Lepisosteus oculatus: one gene and its partner. The protein of the gene in region 1 interacts with the protein of each later gene in a biochemical or structural test. Links are inferred from orthologs where the notes say so. Each region holds a gene or a part of one and is shown on either strand. Other genes may lie near its edges. The genes, in order: pkd1a and histone deacetylase 9.

Region 1 (8,086 bases):
ATCTGGCACTGGATTTGGATCTGAACTTCGACTTTGAACACTGGATTTTCCCTGTGTCCCTAGCTGGCCACAGAACCATGTCTGCCTGTCTGCTCTGGTACACTACACTCATCTTTCTCAGTCAGCAACTAGCCTGCATCTCATTACCTGAGTATGCCCTCCTTGCTCAACCCCAGTCCAGTTTTCTATTCATCCAATACTTGGGTTCTTATTCATTCCAGAATATTGCTACAAGTTCCATTTCAACATAACTTGTGATCTTTAAACACAGTGATATCTGTCCCTGCATGGCATAAGCCACTCATGTCAGTCCAGGTCAAATCTGAATCAGTGTCGTGCACTGACCCATTATACATCCAGACAGTTATACTTAAGGACACTAGTGGAATGAGCTGGATTGAAGTACGGTATAACTGCATACTGGAGAGACGTCTCTGTGGTTGCTGTGAAAGAGGGTGTTATTACAAAGTATTTCATACTGCCAATTAGGCACCATGACAAATATCACATATAGCAAAATTCAACAGCTTGGTAATAGTCTGCAGTAGGCATGAGTCACACTTCCCTTCCGTAGCATGTTAATTGAATAATTATGTGAGGCACCTACTGTATGTCCTGAAAATAAAGAAAGACACAGACAGGGGAGGATAAACAAAAAACAGAGAAAGTGTCGCTTTATAATCCAAACACAGAGCTCTTTGTGCAGACCAGCTGAAATCCCAAAATGTGCTTCAGTGTTATTTTTTGGTACAAATAAAAGAATCAAAACCACGACAGAAGTTGGTGAAGTATGGAATTGGTGGCCACAATCCCAGAATGGAAACTGTCCAACACAAGCAAAACTACAGGCTGGCACTTGTGTGGCCACTGTAGATGTAGATACTGAAGTGTGTGGTGGTGTTGATTATGAAAAATACACACTTGCGCAGGTCAGAAAGATGTCCTATCATTGATTCACAAACTTGCCTCTGGCTTTTCAAAGCTTGACACATAACAGACAGGCTATACTAACAGAAATACAAGGATATTGAACTACTTGGCTCAGTTCACATTCCATAGACAATGTTCACTCTCAGTGTTTCTGAGTGTTCAATAAATGCACAATAAATTACACAGAAAGGATCCGTACATAAATCAGAATTTTATTATTGGTTTAAACTGTAGTAGGAAGGAGCAGCAGTAGTATTAACTGTTGAGGAGTGCAAGTAAATATTAATGAGTGTGCTTGCTTGGGGCACATTTTTTATTTAAAATCGTTTTTAAATACAGTACTGTAGGTAGACGATGTGATACTCAAAGCACTTCATGTCTTGTAGTCACTTTGCTTACTATTGATCTGTGATTGGTTAAGATATACTGTATATAAAGCCATACTGACCAGCTTTAAAAAAACTCCTATTATTAATTACAGATGACTCAGGATGCTCATTTTAAAAAAAAACGTAGATCAAGTGCCTTAAGAGAACCTGAATCCTGCAGGGTTTAGAGATGCTTTAAAACGAGCGATTGTTTATGACATGAAAAAGCAGTTTATTTGATCTTAGTCACATGCTTGTCCTCCAGCACTCCAGCCTATAGAACTGCCTACTCCTGGTGTGGATCGTCTGTACAGGACAGTCTGAGGAAGATGCTCCCCCTAGTGTTCAGTGTGTGTTTGAATGTAGCGTCTGTAAAAAAACTTCCATCCAAATGCAAAAACAAATGTCTGGTGTTATGTGTTACTCATATCCACATTAATACTGCAGGAGCCTTTCTTTGATTTCAAAGCACAACTCAAGGTTGAGAAATGATAACACAAAGATCAAACGGAGGCAAGATCTTCAACCTTGAGAGGTACATAGGGCAGATGAAAAATAATTATGAATCACTACATATCACAATAGAAACCGCAGCTTAAAGCACTCGTTTTTAGTTCGATGAATATGAATGTATTTGCATTCATGCAAGGAAGTCTGCATTAAATACGTAATTAACGTAATAAAGTACGTAATATACTTACTTTGTTTTCTTATCCATTCGTCCGTTTTCTAACTGCTTTTACAACACCGGGCGGCTGGGGATCCTGATAAGCAACTGGTGCGAAGCGGGGTACACCCTGGAAGGGACGCCAGTCCATCGCAGGACAGGCCCAGACAGAGACACGGTCACACTCGCACCCGGGCCGATTTCCCCAGAACCCACTTGACCTTACCACTATGTCCAGAATGTGGGAATCTTGAGCGCCTGGAGGAAAGCCATGCGGGACAAGGGGAGGACATACAGTACAAACTCCAGCCAGACAGGACTACGGGGCCAGAGCTGAACCCAGGGCCCCAACACTGGAGACAGCAACGCTCACCATCACGCCATCGTGCAGCTCCTTGTGTTCCTCTACAACAGCCAAATATCCCTGCCTGTCACACACCTATTAACAACAAATTGACATATGCTTACACAAGTACACTATTTCTTTGGTGGCTGTATTTCAAAAGAGTGTACATTTGTATTTGTCTTTTAAATTAACTTAAGTGCTGCATTCATGAGAGGAAGCACAGTTCGGTTACAGCTGCCTGCTTGCTGTCACATGGTCATTCCAGAATTGAGCTGGCAGCACAGTTTCCTCAATTCTGAGGGGGAGGAGCGAAAATAAAATGAATAACTTATTGAGGATTAATGCTTTGCAATGTCTTGTACAGTATACCATGTTCACACAACAATGAGCAAATCCCTTTTGTCTTATTTGTACTTTTCAGAGTCGTGTTTTTTTTTAGTGATTTGCTTAATTTGAAGTGTTTTTTTTTCTCCCTCTTTCGGAGTCAGCTTGTCAGGTATAACAATTAGTAAAGATAAAACCTTTGGGAGTGTGAAAGCAAACGGTTTCGAGGAGATGCGAGTCTTAGTGTTTTTTTTTTAATGAGAGAGTACCAATGGAACAGAACTAAAACAATGCACTCAATCACAGGGAGAAGGCTGGTGAACAAAAGACATTGGTAGAGCTATTCTCTTCCACGGTTTTATTGTATTCAATACTTATCTAGGTCAGGTAGTTGCTCATTCAGAAGACTGTTCAACCAATGAACCAAATGGGCCAAATACCCGCTAATTTACAGCCTTTCTTCTGTTCTTTATAAAGAAAAGTACTTATAGAATGGAAACAGCCACAGGAAAGTACCTCATTGATACTGGCACACACCAATGGTATTAAGAAGACTGATTTGTTTTGGGGTATAATAAGGATAATGGAACAGCAGGTTGCTTTTAGGATAATAGTATTTTGCACTTTCTGAGATGCTGAATGCTTCTGTCTGGTTAGGGAACACCGATTCTGAACAATTTAAAATTAGACTGTATTTGGCTTTGATCTATTTTCTTTTATGTTTGCTTTTCGTGTAAATTGTACCTTTCATCTCCTTAGCTGGAGAGCCAAATTGCAACTGAAATAAATAATAAGGAAAACCTCTGGAATTCTAAGGGATCATTTATAGAAGAAATTTGAAATTTGCTAAGTTGTTTTCCCCTGTCAAAACAAACATACTCTTCAACGTAGCTAAATTGTACACACTGTATTAAACTTTCTTTAAGCAATTTGGCTACAATAGCTTCAGTACTGTATGTATAGCCATGTTATTCAGACAGTGTAATGATATGCCTTACTGTTGGCAAGAGGCTTCTAATTTGAATTCAAGGCTGGCACCAAAATCTCTCATCAAAATACAATCTTTTACTATGAAAGTGCAAGATATGAGGGGTATATCCTAATATAAAATGCTATCTAGTCATCAAAGAACAAGCCAGAGATTTGAAATTCATGACCTGTCCTCCAGAGTCTTATTATAAATGAAGTATCTTGAATCCTACATACTTTAGAGAAGGTTTAGAGATAGGACTAAGTTTGGAATATTGTTTAATTCTGGATATTTAATACAATATCACAATCTCAACCATGAAAATATACAGTATATGCAAAGCATTAAAGACGGTGCAAGCTATCAGAACATTGAAGCTATACAAAACATCAGTCTATTTGGTTTAAGATGTTTATCCATTCAATATTTATATTTTCCCTTTACTTTTCGCCAGCTATGATGAAAATAAACTTCACTTTCTGTAAATGTTTTTGTTTGGACAATGAAAAACAGAATCCTACTACTGCCTGTCTGTAACAATGTATCTAAAAATAAGGATATTTAACATTTACTGTGTTAAAGACCTGGACTGATTAAGTGTATATTAAACTATTCTAAAAAGAAATATCAGTAACAATGTACGGTATATCCTTGTCATACTTCTTTAAAGTTAAACATTATTGTAAACTCTACATATTTATACGGACGTCTACATTTATTCGAGAAAAAGATCCCTCTTTTATTTCGTTTAGTTGTATAAAAAAATAATAGGAGCTTTCTGCATTGGATATACATTCTCAAACGGACTATTTTCAATAATAGAAAGGAATTACAACAAAGTAGCACAAATTGACGTGACCTTGTAACCAGGCATAACCAGACATTTTCGTTTTAAAAATAAGCGTACCCTGTATTAAAATTACTTAGTAGTTGCAAAACGATTTAATGTACAGTAGGTGCAGCTGCAGCTATTGATGTTTGTGTCTCCAAATAAAGGAGAAGAACGTTTTGATCTGATTTATTTTTACGCGCAGTTAATGGGCTACAATACAACAGCGTTCATACGGAACAAAATTATACAGCATCTCAGGGCTGAGGGATTATTCGTCTCGTTAGTGAACTCCCAAAACCTCAAGAAGTTTTCCCTGCAAGAAACCCTAGTGTTGAAAACATGGCATTGCAGAGTTCGAAAGCAAACAGAGAAGGAAGTTTCCTGAGAACTTAGCAGAGGAGTTTCAAAACTTTTTTTTTCCAGAGGAATTGGTACACTCAAATAAGGAAGGTTTTCGAATCGGGGGGGGAAGGAGGTTTCAATGATATTCATGCAAACAACCGAAAGAAGAAACTTTTCCCCCCAGTTCGACCGAGAGATTAGCAACCTCAGTGGCGATGCGATGTGAGTGAGCGATGCCTTGTGGAAATGGACAAACTGTATCCAAGCGAAAACATGGCGTCTGTTCCTCACTGTTCGGACTTTCCACCAGTCTACTGCTTTCCTTGTGTTTTGCTCTCACCTCGGGAATGGTGGACTCGGTCAACCATCACTGTCCCAAGAACTGTACATGTTCAGTTGTGGGACCACAAAGTGTCGTTAACTGCTCTAACACAGGGCTCGACCGGGTACCAGAAGCGACGGACATCCCGTACTACACCAGTATTCTGTAAGTAGCTGGGATTTACATCCCTAGCGGAAAATATCAGTTTCTGCTCTTTGCCTGTTTGTCCTTGATGTTGTTGTGTGATTTACAGTGTGTTTACCGGGGGGAACAACGTCTCAAAATATCATTTGAGCTTTTAGAGAAAATATTTGTATCCGAGTGGGAAACAAAATGCTTTAAAGTAACTTTAGTGACATACAGCATAACTAGTCTGATCCAATCTTGGGTATGAGACTGTTTTCATCTGGTGCTTGCCAACAGACTCTCGATTAGTTTAAAAGTTATTGTGCTGTGAACTAGAATGGCAGGAAAACAACCCCGTTATTGTTCTCTACTGAACGAAACAGTGTGAAATATTTTAAATTCCAAAGACTTTAGTAAAATATTTAATGAATCCTATAAAAAAACTTCATATTTAACCAAATGAAAAATATAAACATGGACACGGTGTGAGTAACTATTTTAAGATTAATATAGAAATATACAAACAGTATTTAAGATAAGCTGAATGTTAAAATACACCGCAAATATGTCAAATGTTTTAATTAGATACATTAAAAAATAAACATCGGAAATTTGTACCCTTGCTGTACTAATGTTTTCAGTGAAACTGGAAATCATTGACCGATATCTGAATGAAACAAATGGATTAAAGGTTTGCTGGTACAGATTAACCATGATCAGTGAACCTTTCAAGAAATTCACCACCAAGAAGCGCCTCGACTAACACAACTACAGTAGTCGGTTACTTCACAAAAAACACAGATATGCAAGTTATACACTAATGCATCATTTGATTTTGTTTTTAAGTAAGTTGCATTTTTGTATTGTGCGTTTGACAAAAAATAATAAAATGCGTTTGGGATTTGTGCTACGTTATGTTGTGGAAGACGAGGACATAAGCCTCGGTGTAAAAGGACGAGGACGCAGCGTAGTGTAAAAGACCTCTAAATACACCAGTCGTATAATACTTTCCTACAGTATGTAGTAGTACTATCAGCTTCAATAACGGCTTTTCAACGGGGCAGAACGACCCGATGAGTGCTGTTTGAGAATTATGATTGGTTTTATCTTGGTTCAGTGACTGGGGACTAGGTTCTGGAAGGATGCACAGAAAAGGTCCTTCACTTTAACCACGGCAAAAACACCCACTAGCCAGATTAAAGCGCTGCAAATTGAACGTGATTTGACAGTGCCTGATAAAAGGGTTTCAAACACCCAATCGAAACATTAGAGAGGTCTTTCTGTATGTCCCGAAAGACATCATCAAAACTTTAAAATTTAAAGAAATGGAGAGGTGTCTTGTTAAAATAGGATACATACCCCTATTTGTCTGTTTGGTCAAACAATAGGTCTGTTTTGGACACGCCTTCAGCTCTGCAGTGATGGAACAATCAACTCATCGCAATGTAGTGTAGTTAAAAACGTAATTCTGTAAAATGCCACATGTGAAACTTCACCTGCATGCAGAGGTATGCCGTGTCTAGAACCAAGAGCATCCCTTTGTCGCACAAGAACAGAAAAGAACCGTGCACGTTGCTTGTTCATGATGCTTATACTGTAATATCAGGCTGGGGTGCATGCATAAAAACTGAATGGTATTGTATATGCAAAGGCTGTTGAGATGGGAGACGTTATAAAAAACAACAAAAGAGTCTTGGAAACAATACAGCTGTGTGAGTGTGGAACAAGCTACCCAGTTCTGCTGTTGAAGCCGATACCTTGACTTTTTTTCAAGAAACAGCGGGAGGACATCCCTGGATCAGTTCGAATACTATCAAATGGACTAGATCGACTGGATGGCCACCTCTTGTTTGCAACCTTTCTCATGTTCTGAATAGCGTGTTCTATTTTTAGTGCCTCTCAGTAAATATACGGTAAACAGATGAAGTTATACAGCAGGGGTCTCCAGTCATGGTCCTGATCCAGCTAGTCTTACAGGTCCTCTGGTTTCAGAGACTGGCATCATTTATAAATTATTGATGAGTCAAGCAAGTTATCGATTCAATTAAGACCACTCATGTCCTCGAGGGTTAAAGATTACTTCGATTTTAATCCTAAGTGACCTCTAAATTACTTAATTTAACAAACCTCATGATTAATTAAACACACTTGAATTGGTCCATGTCTTTAGAAATTGGTGATTTAATGATGGCCTGCAAAAGCTATTGGATTAAGGCTCTGTAGCACCAGTTGGGTTGGGTAAAAGTGCAAAACTGTTATACAAAAAGTTGATTGTATTTGCAAAATACATTCCATGCTATTTCAGTACCTGGCAGGTGCCGAATATTGTCTTAGCAGCTCTAAGAATGGTATTTTGTTCTTTAAATTAATCTAAAAATATTTTTTTCTTAAAATAATATCATTATAATTAGCTTAATTACTTAAGACAATTATTTGTTTTAGCTTCTGAAACGTTTGTTTCAAAAACTTTAATAATACTGAATTACAATTTATAACGTGCTTCATCCCAAAGCATTTCACTGGTAAAAGGACCCACTTCAAATGTAGCTTTTCTGCACCAGGGGCCCCATAACACTGCAGACCGGTCAGAGAAGTGAGAAATGGCTTCACCCGTTGAATAAAGGGGGACATTTTAGAGAGACCAGGTTGTGCAAGTTGAGACTAAATTATAGCCAGGATCCCTGCTTTTACAATCCCTACAACGACTGCAACAACTGAGTAGTCAAGACCTCAGTTCAACATCTCGTCCGGACGACTGCAGATCCAACAGTCCCTATTTACCACACTGGGATGTTGGTTCGTAAATTCTGGCCCAAAGGGAAGATGATCCAGCAGCACTTCTAGCAGCATCCTGATTTT
Region 2 (8,224 bases), on another chromosome or scaffold:
AGCCTGTTACACCATCCTTTATTTGAATAAAGGCTACTAGAAGAACAATGACGTACTGTAGGTATGGGATTATTTTTAATCCATTCTCTACTGAAATTCTGAAAAGTTTAAAGTTTGTGGTTTGTCTTGGGATACCTGCCTCTTGAGCAATGCAAGTTAACCAACAGGTTCTCAAAACCTCTAAATTCCTTGTGTTTGTTAGTGACACTCTCCTTAGTGACAGCAGTAAAACTGAACGGTACACTATTTATTTTGGTTACACCACTTTGCACTCTGTAATTTTAAATAAATGTATTTTGTAAATTGTTGTCAATTCTGTTGAAAAGCATCCATAGAACCAAAAGTGCTTTTTGCACAGCATAGCTGTGGTAAATGTAAATTAACTAAGGCACTGTGCGTTTGTCACATTTGGATGGATTTTAAACACCAGTTCAAAGAGCATGACTCCTTCAGTAAAAATAACATGTAATCATGGCACATATTTTCATTCAGATGAACATACAGTAAGTGAATTACAGTTTACCTATACAGTACATGTGACCTGTTTCTTCACAAATGTATAAAATCATCTTTCATAGAATTAATTTTGTTTCATAAACAACGTTCTTACTAAAAAGGTAGACAAAGCACCAGCTGCAAACACAGAGGCTGCAGTCCTTCAGTTTTTGGAGAAGCTATTTTTAGAAATACTTCAGTACGGTACCTGTCGCCAGCAAAACGAGCTTCCAGTGAAGTCCCAAACAAGGTAAGGCTGGAGGAAAACGCAGTCCCAAGGCCTGCTTGATTTGTCATGTACCATGCGTGCAAGATTTTCCATTCTGGAAAGCAGTGCTGCTCTTCAACAGGACTTTAATTGGGTCCCAGTGTTCGTTGTTTATACATTTCCACCTTTATGACAGACTTGCCGTCTGTGTTTAACGAGCAGCTCGGAGGATAAAAAGCTCTGGCTTGTTTCGTACATGGCAGCAGCCCAATCTTCGAAACAGACACCAGATTTTCCAGGTCGCACTTCCTTACACGTATCTATTGCAAGACGTTGTACTTTGCCCCTACAGGGTTTCAATTATTTGGGATAGTACTTTTTATTTACAAAGGCCCTGATAAAAGAACTTTTGCTTTCTAGTTCAGTCCTACCAGCCACTGCTGCTTTATAACTGTACACTTGTGCTGTAAAACTTTCAGCCACACGTTCTGCAGCTAATAACACACACAAGTGAAAGTGTTGACACAGAAAAGGTCGGCATTTTATTTCCTAGAACTAGTTTTAAAATACAATTGGGTTTTTTTATAATCTGATGATCCATTTCTCTATTATAAAGGCTATTTTCTATCTTTTCAGTGCAACTTCTTTAATCTTTGCAACTGTTGCAAATACGTTTTAGTGGAAAACTAAGTAGCTACTCTTAGGGTAAGAATAAGAAGCTCTCTTGCAGTAACAATCCAAATATCAGAGCAGGTGCTGCCTTCCCCAGCTATTCGGTGGCTCTGTGGCTCAGGATCTGCGCCTGTGACTGGAAGGTTGCCGGTTCAAATCCCACGGCTGGCAGAGGAATCCTACTCCGTTGGGCCCCTGAGCAAGGCCCTTAACCCCCAACTGCTCCAGGAGTGCTGTACAATGGCAGACCCTGTGCTCTGACCCCCAGCTTCTCTCCCTGTCTGTGTGTCTGTGTCTCCATGGAGAAAAGCTGGGGTATGTGAAAAGATGAATTCCTAATGCAAGAAATTGTATAGGGCTAATAAAGAAACATAATTACAACATTATTCCTGACAGATTTGTGGATATGATAAAAGCAAAAATATGCTAAAATGTTAAATGTGCTTACGGGTTAAAAGCATCATAGAGATACCACACAAGGAAGGTAAAGTGTATTGTGGTTCCAGGAAGGTCTACAGTAAGTCCCACAAGGTGACTGCACTGTGACGCACTCTGTCCTGTCCAACCCAATTCTGATTTTCTGCTTTTGGAATGAAAGTTTAATGCAGCTGGTGTCAGGATATTCAGTGTACTGCTTTCTGAGCACTTGTCACAAGACACCTTACCTTTACTCTTGTTTTACAATGCAATAGGTTAAAAAAGCCCAGCCACACAGGGGATATCAGATAACAGGATACAGTTTTTTAAGTCTCCTCTAGGTGCAATCTAAAACAAAAGTATATACTGTAGTTGACTATATAAAGACATTGGGGACGGAAACTGTATTTTTTAATGGGTTATTACTTGTGCATTTACAAATTTAGATCCAATAGAACAATTTTATCTCATAGCAAGATAAATTGTATTTACAGTATATATATTTTTATGCAGAGAATGAAGAGTTTCAAAGCAGCCAGTCTTGAGAAATTAGCAATCCAGCTAAAATGTCATTTATCTGAAAATCTGCATTACAAAGTCAAACAAAGAACCACTCATGCTAAAAGTCAAATTTACTTTTTTTTCTGAGTGTTGTCTTCAAACCACATGGAGTTGTGAATATTGTACAAATGACTCATCTTATTTTAAAACACAGTAAAGATGAAATCTAAACCTTTTTCCTAACTGATGATGACAATTCAGAACCCAGAACTTGAGAGTGGCTCTCTGTTTTAGGTGTATTCTCTATACAACAGATCAAGTACTTGCTATTCTATCATACTGTGACCAGTATGTATATTAATCTCATTAGATCTTTGCTGATTCATAATGGTTCCTACTGGAAAGGTCTGCAGTAAGAGAGAACTTTTGGGATGGCAGGCCAATTTACGCAATTAATATTAAAAAATAATAATATTCTGGTGCCATTTCGAAGACAGTGAAAGTACCACTTTTGCATGATGTGTTTGATGTGCAAAAATGAGAAATTTTAAGTGGAGCTCCACTTGCTAATATGAGCTACATACGTATGTGCAGGTAGTTCAGGCGGGGAGCTGCGTCAGCATGCGTAGGCTGCAGAAGAACAAGTAACACTTGAAGAAGGCACCACAGCCGAAATGTTGCGTTTTCTGTCTTCTCATTTCAGCAGGAATACACCTATTATTTGTTCCTACTGTATATGTTCATGTATTCCTCAAAGGCATTGACACTTTGGAAACACCTTTATGAAAATGCTTCTTAAAAACTTCATGCATGTCTTTCTCACCATCATTGTATTATTGTCTCTTGTGTTGTTCATATACTAGTTTTTGTTTTTGTTGTTTTTTTGGGAGGTCTGTTTAGGATCATTCTTTCAAGGAAACTATTAGTATGAGTTTCCTCTCTAAATACCTTATTACATTTTGTGTTTTTTATATAATTCTATATTTATTTGATCTGTTGTGATCAAGATTCTACTGGTATGACAGATACAGTGCTGTCTTTGTTGATTTAAAATGGAAAAGGTCTTCAGAATCATGTTTGCATGAAAGAGCATTTGATGAATATTATGTTTTTCATGTGGTTTGCGGTAAATCTTCATCAAGTAACTGAAAATTATTTATTTAATAGCCACAAAAACACCACTCTGCATAAACTAACAGCTAATTTAAATAGTTAAATCAGCATACAATTTCAACTCATTGTTTTCACTTCCTTAAGATGTTTCTGTAACTATCCAGGACTACTGTGCATACTGTATGGCTATAGCAGTGACTGTCATGATGCTTTTCCCCAAAAATGAAATATTCATTTAAAATGATTTATGTGGCTTATAGGAAAAAAAATAATTGATTTGCTATATGAAGAACACACACATTCCTAACTGGTTGGTTAGACACAAGGCATTTGTATTTGAAAAGTAATTGTTTCTGCTTTTTTATTCTTCATAAATTAGCAGTGCATGATGGTCTCCATTAATTAAAATGAAAATAACATTTTGGGTAATCGAGTAAAAAAGTGCCCAAGGGGTCCTTTTCATTATTATTCTCAGAAAAAAATGGTTCTGTCCAGCCCCTAAGAGAGTTGTTTAATGAAATCTCACAAGCTGTGATTACTTTAACAAAACTTAAGACCATCTGCTAATGACCAGCAGGAAGCTAGACTTCAGAGGGTTTTTATTAACACAGACACAGTTAAAAATATGTAAAAGGTGTCTGCTCCTTAAAGATATCATATTTATTACGTTTGTACCTTCGGGGTTTTAATATAAAATTATGGAAATCAGGAAAGTATATATATATAATTATATAATATATATCCTCTTTTAATATATTATGATATGAGGTGCACAAAACAAAGTTTGAAAACTAAACTTGGTAATAAGTCAGTTGATATCTATGGACACTTTGCTAATAATTTGAAATTAATTATATAAAGAGGCATGAAACTTAAAAGTGAAAAAAAACATTTATCTTTAGGAAAAACCTATTATGGGTTTTAGCAAAAAAAATCAACTTAAGGAAAAAAAAACTAAATTCTAGCGATTTTTAGAAAGGAACCTTTTTTAAAAAAAAAGATGAGTTGAGGCCAAACTCACAGTTAATTGCAAGACAACCTATTTGCAAAGTGCGCACAGAAATATATCATAATAAATCATTATTCTCTATCTACTGTAGTTACAGCAGACAAGGTTATAAATACATATTGATTCAAAAGGCATTTTTTCTCTTGGGGCGCAAAGTAGTTTTAAAATCACAATAAAAAACAACAGAAGTGTTTTAAGAACTAGTGCGATAAACAGCGTTTATCGTGCCTTAATTTTCCCTCATTGTGTGAATGATCCTCGTTGTTAGCTCCAGCAATCTCGCCTGCTTTCTACTGTGTTGCTATTTATAGTAGATCCTACTTGTGTCGCCACAGGCTCTGATCGCATCTCTCTGCCACTGCAATTTGAAAACACTGCTCTCAGCCTGTCTCCTTGCTCTCCGGGAAGGCACGATATCCAAGATCACATCCAGATTAAAAACTGTACCTTAATACTGGAACCTTTCGCGTTTTGATCTTTTTCCCCCTGCAGAAATACCAGGTAAGAAAATGATGTAATTCTGTTCTATAAATAGCAAGGGGATAGGACAACCGCGAGCAACGCGTTTTGCTGTGTTTAGTTAACTGTGACTTCTTTGCAGTTTGTAATTAGCACAATTTCCAAGTGATTGGCCCCTGAGCCTTATGCTCGCCAATTTTAGCTTGTTGAAAACTTGTTCTTGTTTTCCCCCATGCGACTGAAGCGTTTTATGGTCGCTTTCATTTGTGTTATAAAATGATTTTAGCCATTAGTTAATCCAAGGAAACCAAAATAACTAAAGAGCATGAATAATTAAGTCGTGCCTCATAGGCGACACGACAAGATGAGACCAGTTTAATAAGCAAACGGCTTAAATGATGCCAAGTTGTGACATATATCGCACAGAGGTGTTAATCAGGTTCCTAATCAGTTCGTGATGGAAGAACTTAAATCAATTACACAATATAGTGTACATCCCAATGTTAAATATCAACATGCGCAGAACATTAGGACAATTTTGTTGGTATGGGAGCTGTCGTATACATTATTGTAAGATGTACACTTCTTCTAAATTGATGCCATAATGTTTAAAAAGACATCTTTAATTGTTATGGATTATAATAACGTTTATTTTATTTCGGTGTTTATTTAAACACCGTTTAAGGCGGCAACATCGCGGTGCACATGAAAGGCATAAATTTCCCGTTCCTGATCTGCATAAAATGATGCCATTTCTGGACTATAAATAGAACTCATTAACATTTAGCAAACAACTGATCACCCAAGACGTGAGTGACATACGAATGTATGACAGACTTCAATCTGTTAATTGGTTGAGCATTTGACGCACATAAAGCATAAAACATTTTTGCTGGCTTGTTGACCACGCACAACATGCTCTGAGACGCTGTTCAGAGCGAAACCGGGAGCGGGTTAAATTCAGGAAGTAAAGCACCCACCAGATCTTAAACGCCACACCCAACTGTTTGAAGGAGACACAAGAGGATTCTGTAAGAAAGGTAACCTCAGGTGCGGTCTGGGTTTTTGCCATTTTCAGGTGGGCTTCATTTTCAATCTTACCTTGGACATACTGTACAGTACTGTACTATTAGGCTCCCAAGCAGTGTTCTGAATGTTTTTTTTTGTCCAGAGACTGGGCAACTGAGCAAATGAATGGTGGTCCTGCGTCAACCAAGATCTGTGCCTTAAAACCGTGATAATTCTCCCCTCTGACCCAGGACCTCAGCTTGCCATGCGTTCTTGTGCAGACTGCTCCTGTTGAATGCCTACTTGACTCCAATTAACTCCGTAGCTATCATTCTAGTGACCGTAGAGTTGTCATGTGATGAAGTGGTGTGAGCTGCTCCAAATGACCGAAACAATCACCATGTTTTTTTTTTTCAAAATGCAAACTTCCAGTGATGAGCTATGATACTAATTGACTTGAAACTTGGCAGGTTTCATCGCAACCAGAACTGCCTCAGTCTTGTATCCCACAGGTTGCCTTACGTGCTCGTGCCCTGTTCCACTGACTGCTCTGCTTCACAAATTGTTTAGCCAGTGAACGTCCGATTTAGTGCACTCACGGTTCTGTCAGCCTGTCAAGGTCAATACAGGGGCAGAGGCGTAGTTGGGCAAAGCAATAGATTTGCTGCTCCTTCAGGAACTTAAGTTTTTGTCCTGAAGCTGAACTTGCCAAACCGTGAGTCTGAGAAATTTTATTATCTGTGCATTATTAATACTAGTAGTAGCGTTTCCCCCAGTAATTATCTACCGGAATTTCTTTGTTATCTCTCTCTGTTATTAAAATTCTCAATATATTACAGCTTAACTAATCTCAATTACAATTTGGTTAGACTTCGGTGTAATTTAAATAGGTTATTCGACAAGGTATCCTTATTATACCTTTTAACCCCAAAAAGCTATAATAATCTGTAATTATTGTACTTGGTAAAGGTTTATGCCTGATACAGTATGTATGGATTCCCTTAAAGAAGGATGTCGAGCTTTTTCAGTCATCCAGCATAATGGTTTTATGACTAACTTCTGCCTCATTTCTTTTATTTCTTTAAACTCGGGTTTGTAAAACTCTTGGTAACAACATTCCCTGACAGATCTGGGCTTTTCTGGCCTGGTATCTGGGTGTTCACCGCCACATTATGGATTCACTCAGAGTTTGGGGAACAACGATATTATCATATCTTGTGATATGTTTCTGCACAATTTTAAATTTTAAGATTTGGATATAACATGAGCTGAAATGCAACGTTTCAAAATAGTGTCTTTTTTTTTCTTCAGAATCTTTCTCTAATATTCTCACGTTTCTATCTGACTGCTGCAGATCTCCCTTTACTTTGGACATTCTAAATCTTGTTCGTGTCAAGTCCTTTTCATATTTGGACCACCTGTTTTGTGTAACTGCTAAAAAATTAAAGCACTTTGCTTTGAAGCATGTTTTGTCTATCATCCACTGGCTCATTTAAAAATGCCCCTCCTTTGATCATTTATTATGATTTGCTTTACATGTCACCGGTCTGTTGTACAGCATGTGTGCTACAGTGCATCCTCACCCTGAGAATGGCTCTATTAATTAAGATATCCAACTGCACGGCAGTGTCCAACTGTACTGTCTTTAAAATGCTGCCAATCTTTTGTTTGGACTGGTCTTTAGCAAAGAGGGTATAGTACGCTGCCTTCTTTAACATCTCAGCTTACTGGCCATGCCTGTCCCAGACATAGTGGCATACTGAAAGAGAACTACAGGGCATGTCACATTTCCTTGTGACTATTGTGAAACGGATTTCCAAGCCCCGGACAAGAGTGGTTAAAAATGTCACATGTCACGGGATGTGTCCTTTCTCACACGTCCATTTACATTAGTGTTACAAGTACGATAAACATTTATTACTGAACAAGGCTACAATAAGGCGGTGTAACTTGTATATTGTGTGCAACATCTAAAATATTGCGATGTGCATTTTTAAGCAGCTTTGTTGGGCTAAGCAGCTGTGGAAAACTGTTGAGTGAAATGGAGTTTTTTTTTAACCCAATCCCAACCCCCTTGTTCTAGATCGACAACAGGACCTTGAGCTTTCCGGTGTTTTGACCTCGTACAATCAAGATGTGTTTAGTGGTTAAAGAATTTGTGGAATGTTAGTAGTCAGAATCGTATGTACAGTATATAATCAATTTGAATAAATTATTATAACAAAAGTATATTGGTCTTTACAAAATATAATTACAGACAACAACATTCAAAAACATATGAACAGTTTTGCGACACCACGGTACAGACAGCAAGTCTTTGTACTAGTGAGAGGAAACCACAG

What was found.
Region 2: the proteins of pkd1a (region 1) and histone deacetylase 9 form a complex in vitro, tested with the Homo sapiens proteins (2 studies listed by BioGRID, with this or other methods). The link is inferred for Lepisosteus oculatus from reciprocal best matches to the Homo sapiens genes PKD1 and HDAC9.

What each region holds. Positions count from the first base shown.
Region 1 is NC_090714.1:2,682,611-2,690,696, reverse strand, and holds the start of pkd1a (polycystin-1), read left to right. Parts: upstream 1-4,790; 5' UTR 4,791-5,012; coding exon 5,013-5,266; intron 5,267-8,086. UniProt on the Homo sapiens protein: Component of a heteromeric calcium-permeable ion channel formed by PKD1 and PKD2 that is activated by interaction between PKD1 and a Wnt family member, such as WNT3A and WNT9B. Both PKD1 and PKD2 are required for channel activity.
Region 2 is NC_090705.1:2,103,611-2,111,834, reverse strand, and holds the start of histone deacetylase 9, read left to right. Parts: upstream 1-4,742; 5' UTR 4,743-4,916; intron 4,917-8,224. Other genes in the region: snx13 (sorting nexin-13), read right to left, coding at 704-817. UniProt on the Homo sapiens protein: Responsible for the deacetylation of lysine residues on the N-terminal part of the core histones (H2A, H2B, H3 and H4).